Mus musculus: one gene and its partners. The protein of the gene in region 1 purifies or fractionates together with the protein of each later gene. This does not show direct contact. Links are inferred from orthologs where the notes say so. Each region holds a gene or a part of one and is shown on either strand. Other genes may lie near its edges.

Region 1 (3,733 bases):
CATAAAATGGGAGTATGGCAGGCCCAACGTGCAAGGTACAAGAAGTAATGCACTTGGCTGGCGTCCGTAGTTACTACTTTTCAGGGGCCTAGGGTTGAGCCTTAGCAAAGAGTGTAGATACTCTGAGTCTCCTCCCAGCACGCCCTCAGTTCTGGGTCCAACATCCCCTTGCAGCTCCAGTTGTGTCGCGAGCAAACCAAAGCGGACCCCGAGCTAGTTGGGTCACGGCTGCCCAGTGTCGGGCCTCCTTATGAATGACACCGAACGGCGCCCGGCGACCCTTGACCCTCGGCGCCAGCCCGCCCCTCCCCCCCTGGCAGGTGGACAGCCGCTGCGCCGGCCCGCCGTGGCGTCAACCTCTGGCCCGTGGCCGCTGCCGCACTGGGCAGGGGCGGGAGACTGCAGCGCGCACATTGCCGCACGGGCGTCCGCCGGGCCGCCTCCCGCACCTCGCAGCGCCTGCCACCCAGCCACCCTCCAGCCGCCGCAGCCTCCGCCCCGCCCGCTGCCCGGGCCGCAGCCTGAGCCGCTGCCCCGCCCTCTCACCCCGGGACTGACACTAGCCGGGGCCGCCTGTCTCCGCCAATCGACGGCTTCGCAGGGGCAGCCCCAAGCCCTCTCGGGCTTCTCGGCCAATCACGTGCGTTCGCCCGCCCGACTGCGGCCTCACGAGCCCGTGAGTGGCGGAGAGTCTGCAACTCGCGTCACTCATCCAGGAGCCTATGGTGGCGCGGGAGGGTTCCGGAGGGCCAATGGACAGCGGCGTAGGGCTGTCAGTCAGGGAGGCCTGAACCAATGGGCGGTGGGCTGCGGGGGCGTCACGGACAGAGGACTTGGGCTGAGGCTCCCCCGCGGGCGGGCGCAGAGAGACGCGGGAAGCAGGGGCTGGGCGGGGGTCGTGGCGCCGCAGCCAGCGCAGCCAGCCCCAGGGGCCGCCGCCTCCGCTGCCCAGCGCGCTCCGGGGCCGCCGGCCACCTTAGCACCCGCCGCGTCGCAGCTCCGGGACTGGCCCCGGCCGCGACGCCGCCGCGATGGGCAACGCCGCCGCCGCCAAGAAGGGCAGCGAGCAGGAGAGCGGTGAGTGCCCGGCCGTCACCCTGATCTTCACTGCGTGCGGCCTGCCCGCGCAATGCCCATCACTGCATGGCCCCTCCCCCATATGCCCCCCCAATCTTGTCTGCCTGCACCCCTGCCTGCTGCCTGTTCACGTTGGGGTCGGATCACCGCAGAGATACTTTGCCCCCAGTAGGGCCTGGTGCCCATGGCCTACCATCCCCCACTGCAAAGGCCGTGCCCCCCCACCCAGCTGTCACTGCCAACCATTGCATGTATGACCGCCGGGGCCCCAGATGAGGCCCTGTCACCACACCAACCCCTCTTCTCCTAGTCCCTTTCTCCAGATTCTATACCCCCTCCCACTTCGTCACTTACCTTTCCCACACAGCGCCCCAATGCCTGACCCTGATCCAGGCTCCTGCCAGTTTCGGGAGTGCTGTGGGGTCCACGCTGCAGGGACCTTGGCCACTTGGTGACCACACCCCTCCCCCTCCAGCCCCCGCCATCTTTCTCCTACCCCTGCCCGATTCACCTCATCACAGCTCCCACCTCCAAGCCACCCCCACCCCCATGAGCATTTCCCGGGGCCACCTCCTGCATTGTTTTTCCCTTCTGTGTCACTTGGCATGGGGGACAAGATCTTTCTGGGTCCCTCTGCCCCTCTCATCCTGTCACTCCACCTCCTCCGTGCATTCGTCTGGCCCTGGCTGGGGTGGCAGACTGTTTATGAACCTAGAGAGCTGCTTCTGCGCTTCCTTATCCAAGTTGGAGCTGGTCTTGCTCAGAGCCATTACGTCTGTCCTTTTTCTTGGGTTGCGGGTGAGGTAAAGCGGCAGAGCACCCTCCTGGCCTACCCTGAGGTCTGGGTTCCTTAGAAGGCCCCTCAATAAATGGTCGTTTCACAACTGCGGTTCTGTCGTTCACCCAGCCCCTGGGGCTGGTTTGAAACTGCGGATGAAATGAATAGCAAAGGCTCATTCCACTGAATGGGGATGGTCAGAAGAATTGCGCGCATTGGGGTAACGCCATCCAGCAATAGGTGACAGCTAATGATTTGGTTTGCTTAAGACAGATGGATTCTGTGCATACCGAGGGCTCACCCAGAGGGAGGTATATCCACACACACATACACACACCCCCCCCCCAAAAAAAAAACCATGCTGAATTTTTCTAGCCAGGGAAAAAAAAGTGATTCTATATTTGAAATTACTTCAGAAAGGGCCTTGGGCCCTGTCCCCCAGTGCTTCATGTCTCAAAGTGGTGTCACTCCAAGCTAAAGCTGTACTGCAGCTGAGAACAGCTTCCAGTTACCCAAAAAGGAGGCTCTGATCAGCTGTGCCCTTCTCAGTGTCTGAGTCCCCCGAATGCCACTCAAGAAGCCCAAGAACTTTCTGCCCCTCCCCCCCCCCTTCAACCAGCAGAGCTCAGCCCAGCCTAGCAGCCTTAAGAGGCCTGGCATTTCACAGATGGGCGGGGGACAGAGGCAAGTGCTTGTAGTTGAGGGCTTGATGACAGAGGAGCAGGTGGGTAGTGCCCAAAAAGGTCTTGGGCTTGAGCTTGGAGGGCTCCGGGCAGAAGGAGAAGGGCCAGCCCCCTTGGCAGGTGAGGCCCACCAGGAGGTAGATGGTACGTGCAGTGGACTGAATACTGCAGTGGCCCCTCTGAAAGCTGAGCACAGTGCTAGGAAAGCTTTAAGCATATCAGACACACACAACAGGCACAGAGCCACAGAGGAGGGGAGAGCCCAAGGAAAAGATCAGAGTTTGAGAGTCAGTTGGACGGATGAACTCCGTGCATCCAGGAGGGCTTGGTTAAACGGTCTCCATAGACATACTTACTTTGATAATGTCTGTCCAGATGAGCCATCTGAGTTTGACACAGATGACAACACACAGGCAGAGTTCACATCCAGATCTGCTGACCAGCCCATCTCCTAGACCCCGTCATATCTCAACTCAGACATTCTTTGGTTTGCTTTGATTTTTAAAGACAGGATCTCACTATATAGCTCCTCTTGGCCTGAAACTTGAAATTTAGACCAGGCTGGCCTCAAACTCTCAGAGATCTGCCTGCCTCAGCTTCCCAAATGCTAGAATTAACGGCTTTCACCACCATGTCCAGCCTTCAACACATCAGCAGGAGTTAAACCCCAGTCATATTTTCTTAAAATGATAAAACAAACCCCATAATAGTGTATATTGACACTACCAGCAACCCAAGAGGCTGAGGCAAAAGGATTGCTTAAGCCCAAAAATTAAAGGCTAGCTTGGGTAACAGCAAAACCTTGTATCAAAATACAAAAGTCTACAGGATGGCCCTTAGGTAAAGATGTTTGCTATGAAGCTTGTTAGTCTGAATTGTCTTCCTGGGACCTACGTGATGGAGGGAGAGAGCTGACTCCTCAGAGTTGTCCTCTGACCTCCACGAGAGTGTGTGTACACACACAGTAAATATATAGAAACATTTAAAGAAAAAAAAAAAAAAAGAGGGACAGTGCCTCAAACCTAGCAAGGAAGGAAGGGCCTGTGACGCAGAAGGACCTGAGTTTGAGGCAGACCTGGGCCACAAAAGAGACAGCCTTTAAAAGCAGTAATAAACACTTTGCTCACTTCTGCCCATAGGTCCTAAGCTATTCCTGCCTGAGATTTCTAAACCTGTTGTAGTCTCTGGTACAGGC
Region 2 (3,747 bases), on another chromosome or scaffold:
AAATAGCAATCAATTACAAAAAAAGTTGACAATGTTGTGTTTAGCAATATCAAATATTCAGCCAAGAATAAATAATTTTTACGTAGAGATGAACAAGGAAATCCATCTCGTTTGCATACAAGCTTGCTTTTGTCTTAAATGGATTTTTGGTCTGCTTCTTTTCAAAATTCATTTTTTAGGTTAGGATACAAAGTAAGCATTCAAAGAAAGAAAACAAACTTTTTTTTTTAAACGACCAATGTTTGCTTTATACCACTATTATATCCTATATACCTCGAGTGGCATGAAAGTTTTTCAGGTGTCGGGGCGGCAAGTTGAAAAAGTCTAATTAGCTGTATTCTAGACTGCTCATTTCGACATTTACTTCCAAGCAATCTAGAGTGCCTTTTCGTGGCAGAAGCATGAATATGTGCTTTGTTTCGCACGGAGCTTCCTAGAGATTTAAATTCAAGCAGCACCATAGGACACAATAAAGGTTTTTACAGCACATCCATTTGTTTTGTTTGCTCTTCCCGTCCCTGGATACCCTGGCAAGGGGCTGAATATCTGTCAGCAACTTGCTTGGCATTTTTTTTTTTTTTTCTCATTTGGTACAGGCTCTCCTAAGTGATACAGATAAAATTCGTCCCTAGCACGAGAATGTGGCAAACAGATTTGGGTATGAGTTTGAAGTGAACCACACTGTAGATACAGCACGTGAACTCCACGCTGTAGGAACAGAGATTTCGTTTCTACCCTTGTAGAGAAACTGTGCCTGGCACAGATTTCCCCTGGAACTCGTTCGCTTGTGAGCGAGATGTGTTTCCTTTGGCTGGGCAGGAGGGAGATGGGGAGGAGGCAGTCTTGGAACAGCAGGCAGAACGGAGCGCACGTTCGCTGAGGGCGGAAGGAATCCCCAGCAGACCAGAGGGACACGCCCTGCCGCTCTCCCAAAGGGCGGTCTCTCCTGGGATGCCTGGCTTCCAGGCAGCCTGCAAAAACCCTTCTCTTTTCCAGGGCAGACAAGACGCCCTCGGCGAGCCAAAAGCCGCGTCAGCGGCCCCACCCACTCGCCTCCAACGGACCCAGGTCGCCTTCCCGGTTCCCAGCAGCCACCGCGGAGGCGCCGCCCGCACAGGGCATGCTGGGAGTCGAGGTACCCGGCGCTTCATGACTCTCTTCCGTTCGGAATTCCACTTGGAACGCCGTGAGGTAGCGTCGTAGTCGGCGCTCCAGCCCCGCACTCGCAGCTCCAGGGCCCCAAGAACGACACCCCCTTCCCGGGGCGCCGTGCACCGCGTCTCCCCGCAAAGAGCCCCGCTCCGCCCCCCCGACCCTGCTCTACGGAGATTGACAGCGGCGCGGCGCCCGGAGCTGCGGCCAAGTCGGAGGTGCGCAGGCGCACTAGCTCAGCGTTGACCCCTCCCACCCCCCAGTTAGGCCCGGAGGGCGGGGCCAGCACGAGGGCTCCAGGCCGCGGGGGCGCGCACGTAGGCACGTAGGGCCCGTCACGTGGGGCGCCGAGGATCGCAGTGCGCGTGGCCGCGGCGGCTGGTGTGGGGTTGAGTCAGTTGTGACACCCGGAGCTGCTGAGCGGACAGGCTGCCCTCGGGACCCCCGCGGCCCGGCAGCAGGCGCGGAGCTTCGGGAATCGTGAGCCTGGCCCCGTCCTAGAGCTCCGCGGAGCCGGCGCCGCCACCGTCCCCTCGCCCCCGCCAGCGAACCGCCGCCGCGGGCGCGCCCCCGCTCTGCGCTGCGCTGTCTCCTATGGCGTCCGCCTCCGGGGCCATGGCGAAGCACGAGCAGATCCTGGTCCTCGACCCTCCTTCAGACCTCAAATTCAAAGGTAGGCTGGCTGGGACGCTCCGGAGCGGAGCTGAGGCTGGGGCTGGGGCTGGCGGGCGGCGGCGGGGTGGCCGGGCCGTGCTCCCCTCCCCCACGCCCCGGCCGAGCGTCGGAGCCGCGGCCCCGCTGCGTCCCTCGGCCCCGCGCCTCGCCGTCCGCCGCTGCCGGGCCGGGCCGGGCCGGGCTGGGCTGCGCTGCGGAGGGGAGGGGAGGGAGCCGCCGGGCGCCGCGGAGGGCTCCGCCGCCATCTTGCGGCCCCGCGGGGGCGCCGTGGGAGCCCGCCCGCGCCTTGCCCGCCGGCCCGCATGGCGTCCTTGCCCCAGGGGCGGCCGCGGCGCGGCGCGGTGCGGTCGGGCGGTGCGGGAGGGCGACTGGGAGCCGGAGCTCCCTAGTCGGCGGGCGCCAGTGGGCGCCGTTCGGCGGCTTTGGGCAGGCGCGGTCCGCCGCGGGCGAGGAGGCGTTCACGGTCGCGGCCTCGCCCGGAGTCTTTCCCGGTCAGGTGCGGGACTCTGGCTGAGCCGGGAGACCAGGCAGCAGAGTCTCTGGCTGGGACTGACCCCGCGTGTTGGCACGGCCCCCAGGCGCGCGGCAGAAAGCTGTGCGTCAGCTGGGGCATGCATGGTCAGAGGTTAATGGTAGTGGGTCCCTTGTGTCAGCTCGGATTGTCCCTAGGTACGGAGGACCCAGTCCTTGAGTGCACACTGTCTTTACTGAAGAATTCTTTCAGCGTTTGTGACCCGCTTACGCTTGCGGTTTCCCTGCGTATCCCGAGAAAGCTGCTAAGGTGCCACACAGCTCTGGAACTGTTGACTTTGGAGCATTGACTGTGATAGACAGTGGCTTGGTGATTCTTGTTCAGATCCAAGGCGGTTTGCCTTCTCAGTGTGTAGGAAACGAAACGTTACACAGAACAATTTACTTTATTTTAAGGAGAACCAAAAGAATGGAGCTAAAGAGAAAACGTGATCCTTCCTATCTTTAAATGTAAAGTGCCCCCCTCCCCCCCCCCCGAAAGTTAATACCTTGCGTTTTAATTTCAGGAACTGATGAAAACAATTTTCCTTAGGCGCACATCGATTCCAGTACTAAGAGAAAAAGTAAACCCATTAATAGTAGTGTAAGAGTTAGTCCAAATGAAAATAGCTGAATTGTCCTTGTGGGAACAATTTAAAATAGTTCCAGACACTTAAAGATTTTATATCTTAAATAGTTTTAGGGCTTATAAACATTGGGTATTCTGCTAGTCACATGCCCTGCAGGTGTTTCAGTACATTCACAAGTTTCTCTTTACTAGACAAGAACTTGATTGTGATTTTAAGGCAGCTCTAATATCTTTGGAATTGGGTCGTGAACCACACTTATAATCCCGGCATTCTGGAAGTCCAGAAACCATCCAAAGTTTGAAATCAACCCGGGCTACAAGGGAGACACTAGACAGTGTCTCAGAACCTCGGGTAGTGTGTATTTTCCTGCAGCAAATTTCTGTATTGCCTGATTGGTTTTTTTTGGGGGGGGGAGGGGGGGAGGGAGTGGGCGGGGTTTGCTGAGAAGTTCTTATAGTACTGTAGTAGCCATAGGTAATAGAAGCGATTTAATGAACATTTTTACGATATTTTGTGTGGTTTGCTTTTTCTCTTTTGACTGTAAGAGAAAATTATCTGTACCACATAGACATGTGTGAAAAGTCTTTTATGAGACAGGTTTTAAAAACGATTGGAAATACTACATTGTGCAGTATCCATATAGACCACTTATTTTTGATGTTAAATAATAACTGTGTTTATACAACAGACTATGTGTTACCAAAAAAATGATCCCAATACTACTGAAAAGGGCAGGTAAGTGGTACTTTGAGGGAGTAGCATGTCTGTGGAAGCTTTTAAGGGAAAAAGGCTCCTTTCAAGTTGCCTAGGGAAAGTTATG
Region 3 (3,647 bases), on another chromosome or scaffold:
AAGGGTCTGATGACTTTGTGGGGACATGCCATGGATGGTGTGTGGGGCTAGGTTGCTTCCAACATGACAAAGAGGGTGGATTGAATGGTAAAATAGTATGCTAGTCAGCTTTCTAGAGCATGACGAAATTTCTGAGACAATCAACTTGAAATAACAGAGAATATTGACTCATGGGTGCAGTCCATGACTTCCTGGACTTGTCACTCTGAGCCTTTGGTGAGGGAATAATATCATGGTGGGGACATTTGATAAAGTATACCTGTTCACCCTCATAATGTTTAGGAACCATTTAGAAACCAGGGTTTGGGGGATAGGGTCTTAAAAGTCCTCTTTAGTGATGCTTTTTTTCTACAAGGCTCCACCTCCTAAACACAGCACAACCTTCCAGTGGTGTTATAAACCAAGCCTTTAATACATGGGCTTTGGGGACATTTAAGATCCAGAATTCAACTGTGGGAAGCTGTAGAGGTAAGAAGTTGATTGCAGCAAAAGGAGACACTGACAAAGATTAGTATTTGATTTTCAGATTCTGAAATCTGTCCACCTGATGACCTTGCCTTATTACCAGCATGCAAAGAGAATCTTGAAGACCTCCTAGGCCCATCCTCCATAGCCACTTACCTGGATTCCAAGAGTCAGCTCTCTGTTAAAGTCAGCGTGAATGGAACTGACCAGTCTGAGAATATCAATATCCCTGATGACACAGAAGACTTAAAACAGAAAATCCACGACTTGCAAACCGAGCTGGAAGGCTACCGGAACATCATTGTCCAGCTACTGAAGCACTCTCAGTGCAGTGAGGCTATTATCACAGTTTTGTGTGGGACAGAAGGGGCCCAAGATGGCTTGAACAAGCCTAAGGGCCATATTGATGAGGAAGAGATGACATTTTCAAGTTTGCACCAAGTACGATATGTGAAGCATATGAAAATCCTCCGTCCACTAACCCCGGAGATGATTGATGGCAAGATGCTAGAGAGCCTCAAGCAGCAGCTGGTGGACCAGGAGCAGGAGCTACAGAAGGAGCAGGACTTGAACTTGGAACTTTTCGGTGAAATCCATGACCTGCAGAACAAGTTCCAAGACCTCTCGCCATCAAGGTACATCCTATTCCTGCTTCATCCTCCTCATTAGGCTTGCAGGTTTCCCAGGTCGTTGCTATGTAGGAGCCCAGCAGCTCTTGAGCGAATGCTACTCCCTGGGTGGGTAGAGTATACCCTAGGGAAGGCTTCACTTGGGCTTCAGGCAGCCACACAGCTTCACTCTATGCATGCGTATGTTAGGAGCTGGGCAACTTCTGAGACTGGCAGGGCAGGAGTTGCCCTCCTCAGGCTGAGGACTCAGTGTAGAAACTCCACAGCCATCAGACGGTGGATTGCAGTGTGTTTACTGAGCTGCCTGCTGTGTTTATTTCTGAACTCTGTTATTGGCTTTTGCCTTGTTGTGGAAATAAAATGGATGTCCTAAGCAGGTTGGGAGGAATATAAATGTTTTTCATATCTTTACCCTTTAAGGTCATCTTAGAGAAATAAGCCTGTGTAGAAAGCAAGAAATTCTTGGGTCATGAAGATAATGCTTTATAGTTATAAATATGTACACTGGCTTCGTGAGATATGGCAAAAAAACGGGATAGTCTGTAAATTTGACCTTCATTCGTTACTAATTTGAGAAAAGCGCTGTTCTGGATTGTCAAGAGATAGAGTGATATTTTATTTTTCAAGGCTACCCAAGCAGCAAGACTGAGGGAAACTTATCAGCCTTCAGGCTCGGACGTGTTTGTTTGATTTTGTTTTGAGATGGGAGTTTCACCACATAGTTGAAGCTGCTCTTAAACTCATATTCTTCCTGCCTCTGCCTCCTGAGTGCTGGATGGCAAGTGTGTACCATTCCACTGGGAAAGAACTCAACTATTTAGTTCCAGACACACTGAGCAGGAGGCATTCTCAACTTGTTTTAGTTAGCAGAGCAACTGAGACTCCTAGAGATTTCTGTGACTTGCCCGTGGTCAGAGCCCCTGCCAGGGTTCCAGCCTATACTGCCCACTCTTAGTGTTCCCCGGAACTACCCCACCCTTGAGATGGCGCTGCTGTGATTTGCCTGTAGTGTATTGGTATTAACAGTGGTCATGGTGAACAGCTTGCTGTGACTGTTTTTCCTCGTCTGAGGAAGCTGCAGGCTTGCTCTTACCGACTCCTGGGCCTGCGTAGAGAAGGGTGGCACCTGGTGGTGAGGGGGTGGTATTGCATGATAACTCTTCACATTCTGTGGGTTTGAAAAGCAAAGCTTTAGCTCTAAATACCTTTGAGAAAGCTTTCCTTCTCTGCAAGAATCCATTTGTTAGAAGCCTGGGAGAACCAGGTGACCTACGATAACTTGATCCCATGACTGATGGGACCTAGTCACTCAGTAAGGTGGTGGCCTGGCGTCCAACTGACTCTTTCCGTTGGAAGCAGGGAGTCCTTTCTTTTTACCCTTGCCGTATACATACTTGTACTTGGTGAGAATTTTCAGTGGGTCCCTGACCTTGGGGCATTTGTTTCTACAATTCAGAATAGTGTCTTTGAAGAGTGTATGGAAACTAATTGTGCTCCTGAGTCCTTGCCAATCTATGCTTTAATTGGGGGCTCTCTAAGGTTACAAATATTGCAGAAGAATCTCTGTTCAAGCATTTGTTGGCTGTTTGAACTCAAAGAAGGGGTGACCTTGTACAGTTTCAATTTTTCTAAAGTATATATGCTTGTACAGCTACGGGCTTTCAGAAATTATGCTCTGTCATTTTTCCAATTAGTGTTGAGGTCACAAAAATTCAATTCGAAAATGACACACACATTTTCCTTCCCTCTTTTATCAGATACGATTCATTGGTTCAGTCCCAAGCGAGGGAGCTCTCCCTTCAGCGACAGCAAATTAAGGATAGCCATGGCATCTGTGTCATTTACCGTCAACACATGAGCACCATGATCAAGGCGTTTGAGGAGCTTCTGCAGGCCAGTGATGTGGACAGTTGCGTGGCCGAGGGCTTCCGGGAGCAGCTGACACAGTGTGCTGGACTGCTAGAGCAACTGGAGAGGCTGTTTCTCCATGGTACGTAGGTAGAGGCCCTCACTGTGACTCTCCGGCTCCTTCGGTGTGGGCACCAGCAGGTTTGATTCGTTGGCTTTGCTGTACACACAAACCTGGCTGTTCTGCCATTAAGCCGAAACAGCCTTCTACTTCACAGTCCTGCGCTTTGCTTCTCTTGTTCCCCCTTGTTTTTCTCAGCCCTCCTATTAGGTAAGTGCTCCTGGACAATCTCTGTCATAAGACAGCAACAGTCCTGTCACTCACCGACATCACTGTCCCCGCTCCTCCATTTTTCTTGGTTTTCATAGTCAGGAAGCTAGTGAGTTAGTGAGTGAGTGAGTCCAGTTTTATGGTATGTAGAGTGGTCCACCAGAGGAAGTACCTTCTCTGTGGTTGTGTTGAGAATGCATGGCCATGCTGGGGTTTTACAACTCATCTCTTCGCATAAGTCTGTTCCCGCTAGATCTGTTTGTATTCTTGATATTGTAGACATTACTTGGTTGGAGCATCACAGTGCTCTTGGAATTGGACAATAACTCAGTGTCATAGTCACTGTTGTGTTGCTTTAAAGAGACACCATGACC

What was found.
Region 2: the proteins of Prkaca (region 1) and Vapa purify together in Homo sapiens (affinity purification with mass spectrometry; 4 studies listed by BioGRID and IntAct, with this or other methods). This does not show direct contact. The link is inferred for Mus musculus from reciprocal best matches to the Homo sapiens genes PRKACA and VAPA.
Region 3: the proteins of Prkaca (region 1) and Cdk5rap2 purify together in Homo sapiens (affinity purification with mass spectrometry; 6 studies listed by BioGRID and IntAct, with this or other methods). This does not show direct contact. The link is inferred for Mus musculus from reciprocal best matches to the Homo sapiens genes PRKACA and CDK5RAP2.

What each region holds. Positions count from the first base shown.
Region 1 is NC_000074.6:83,972,156-83,975,888, forward strand, and holds the start of Prkaca (cAMP-dependent protein kinase catalytic subunit alpha), read left to right. Parts: upstream 1-822; 5' UTR 823-1,031; coding exon 1,032-1,077; intron 1,078-3,733.
Region 2 is NC_000083.6:65,611,298-65,615,044, reverse strand, and holds the start of Vapa (vesicle-associated membrane protein-associated protein A), read left to right. Parts: upstream 1-1,489; 5' UTR 1,490-1,746; coding exon 1,747-1,825; intron 1,826-3,747. UniProt on the Homo sapiens protein: Endoplasmic reticulum (ER)-anchored protein that mediates the formation of contact sites between the ER and endosomes via interaction with FFAT motif-containing proteins such as STARD3 or WDR44.
Region 3 is NC_000070.6:70,263,928-70,267,574, reverse strand, and holds part of Cdk5rap2 (CDK5 regulatory subunit-associated protein 2), read left to right. Parts: intron 1-526; coding exon 527-1,100; intron 1,101-2,851; coding exon 2,852-3,084; intron 3,085-3,647. UniProt on the Homo sapiens protein: Potential regulator of CDK5 activity via its interaction with CDK5R1. Negative regulator of centriole disengagement (licensing) which maintains centriole engagement and cohesion. Involved in regulation of mitotic spindle orientation.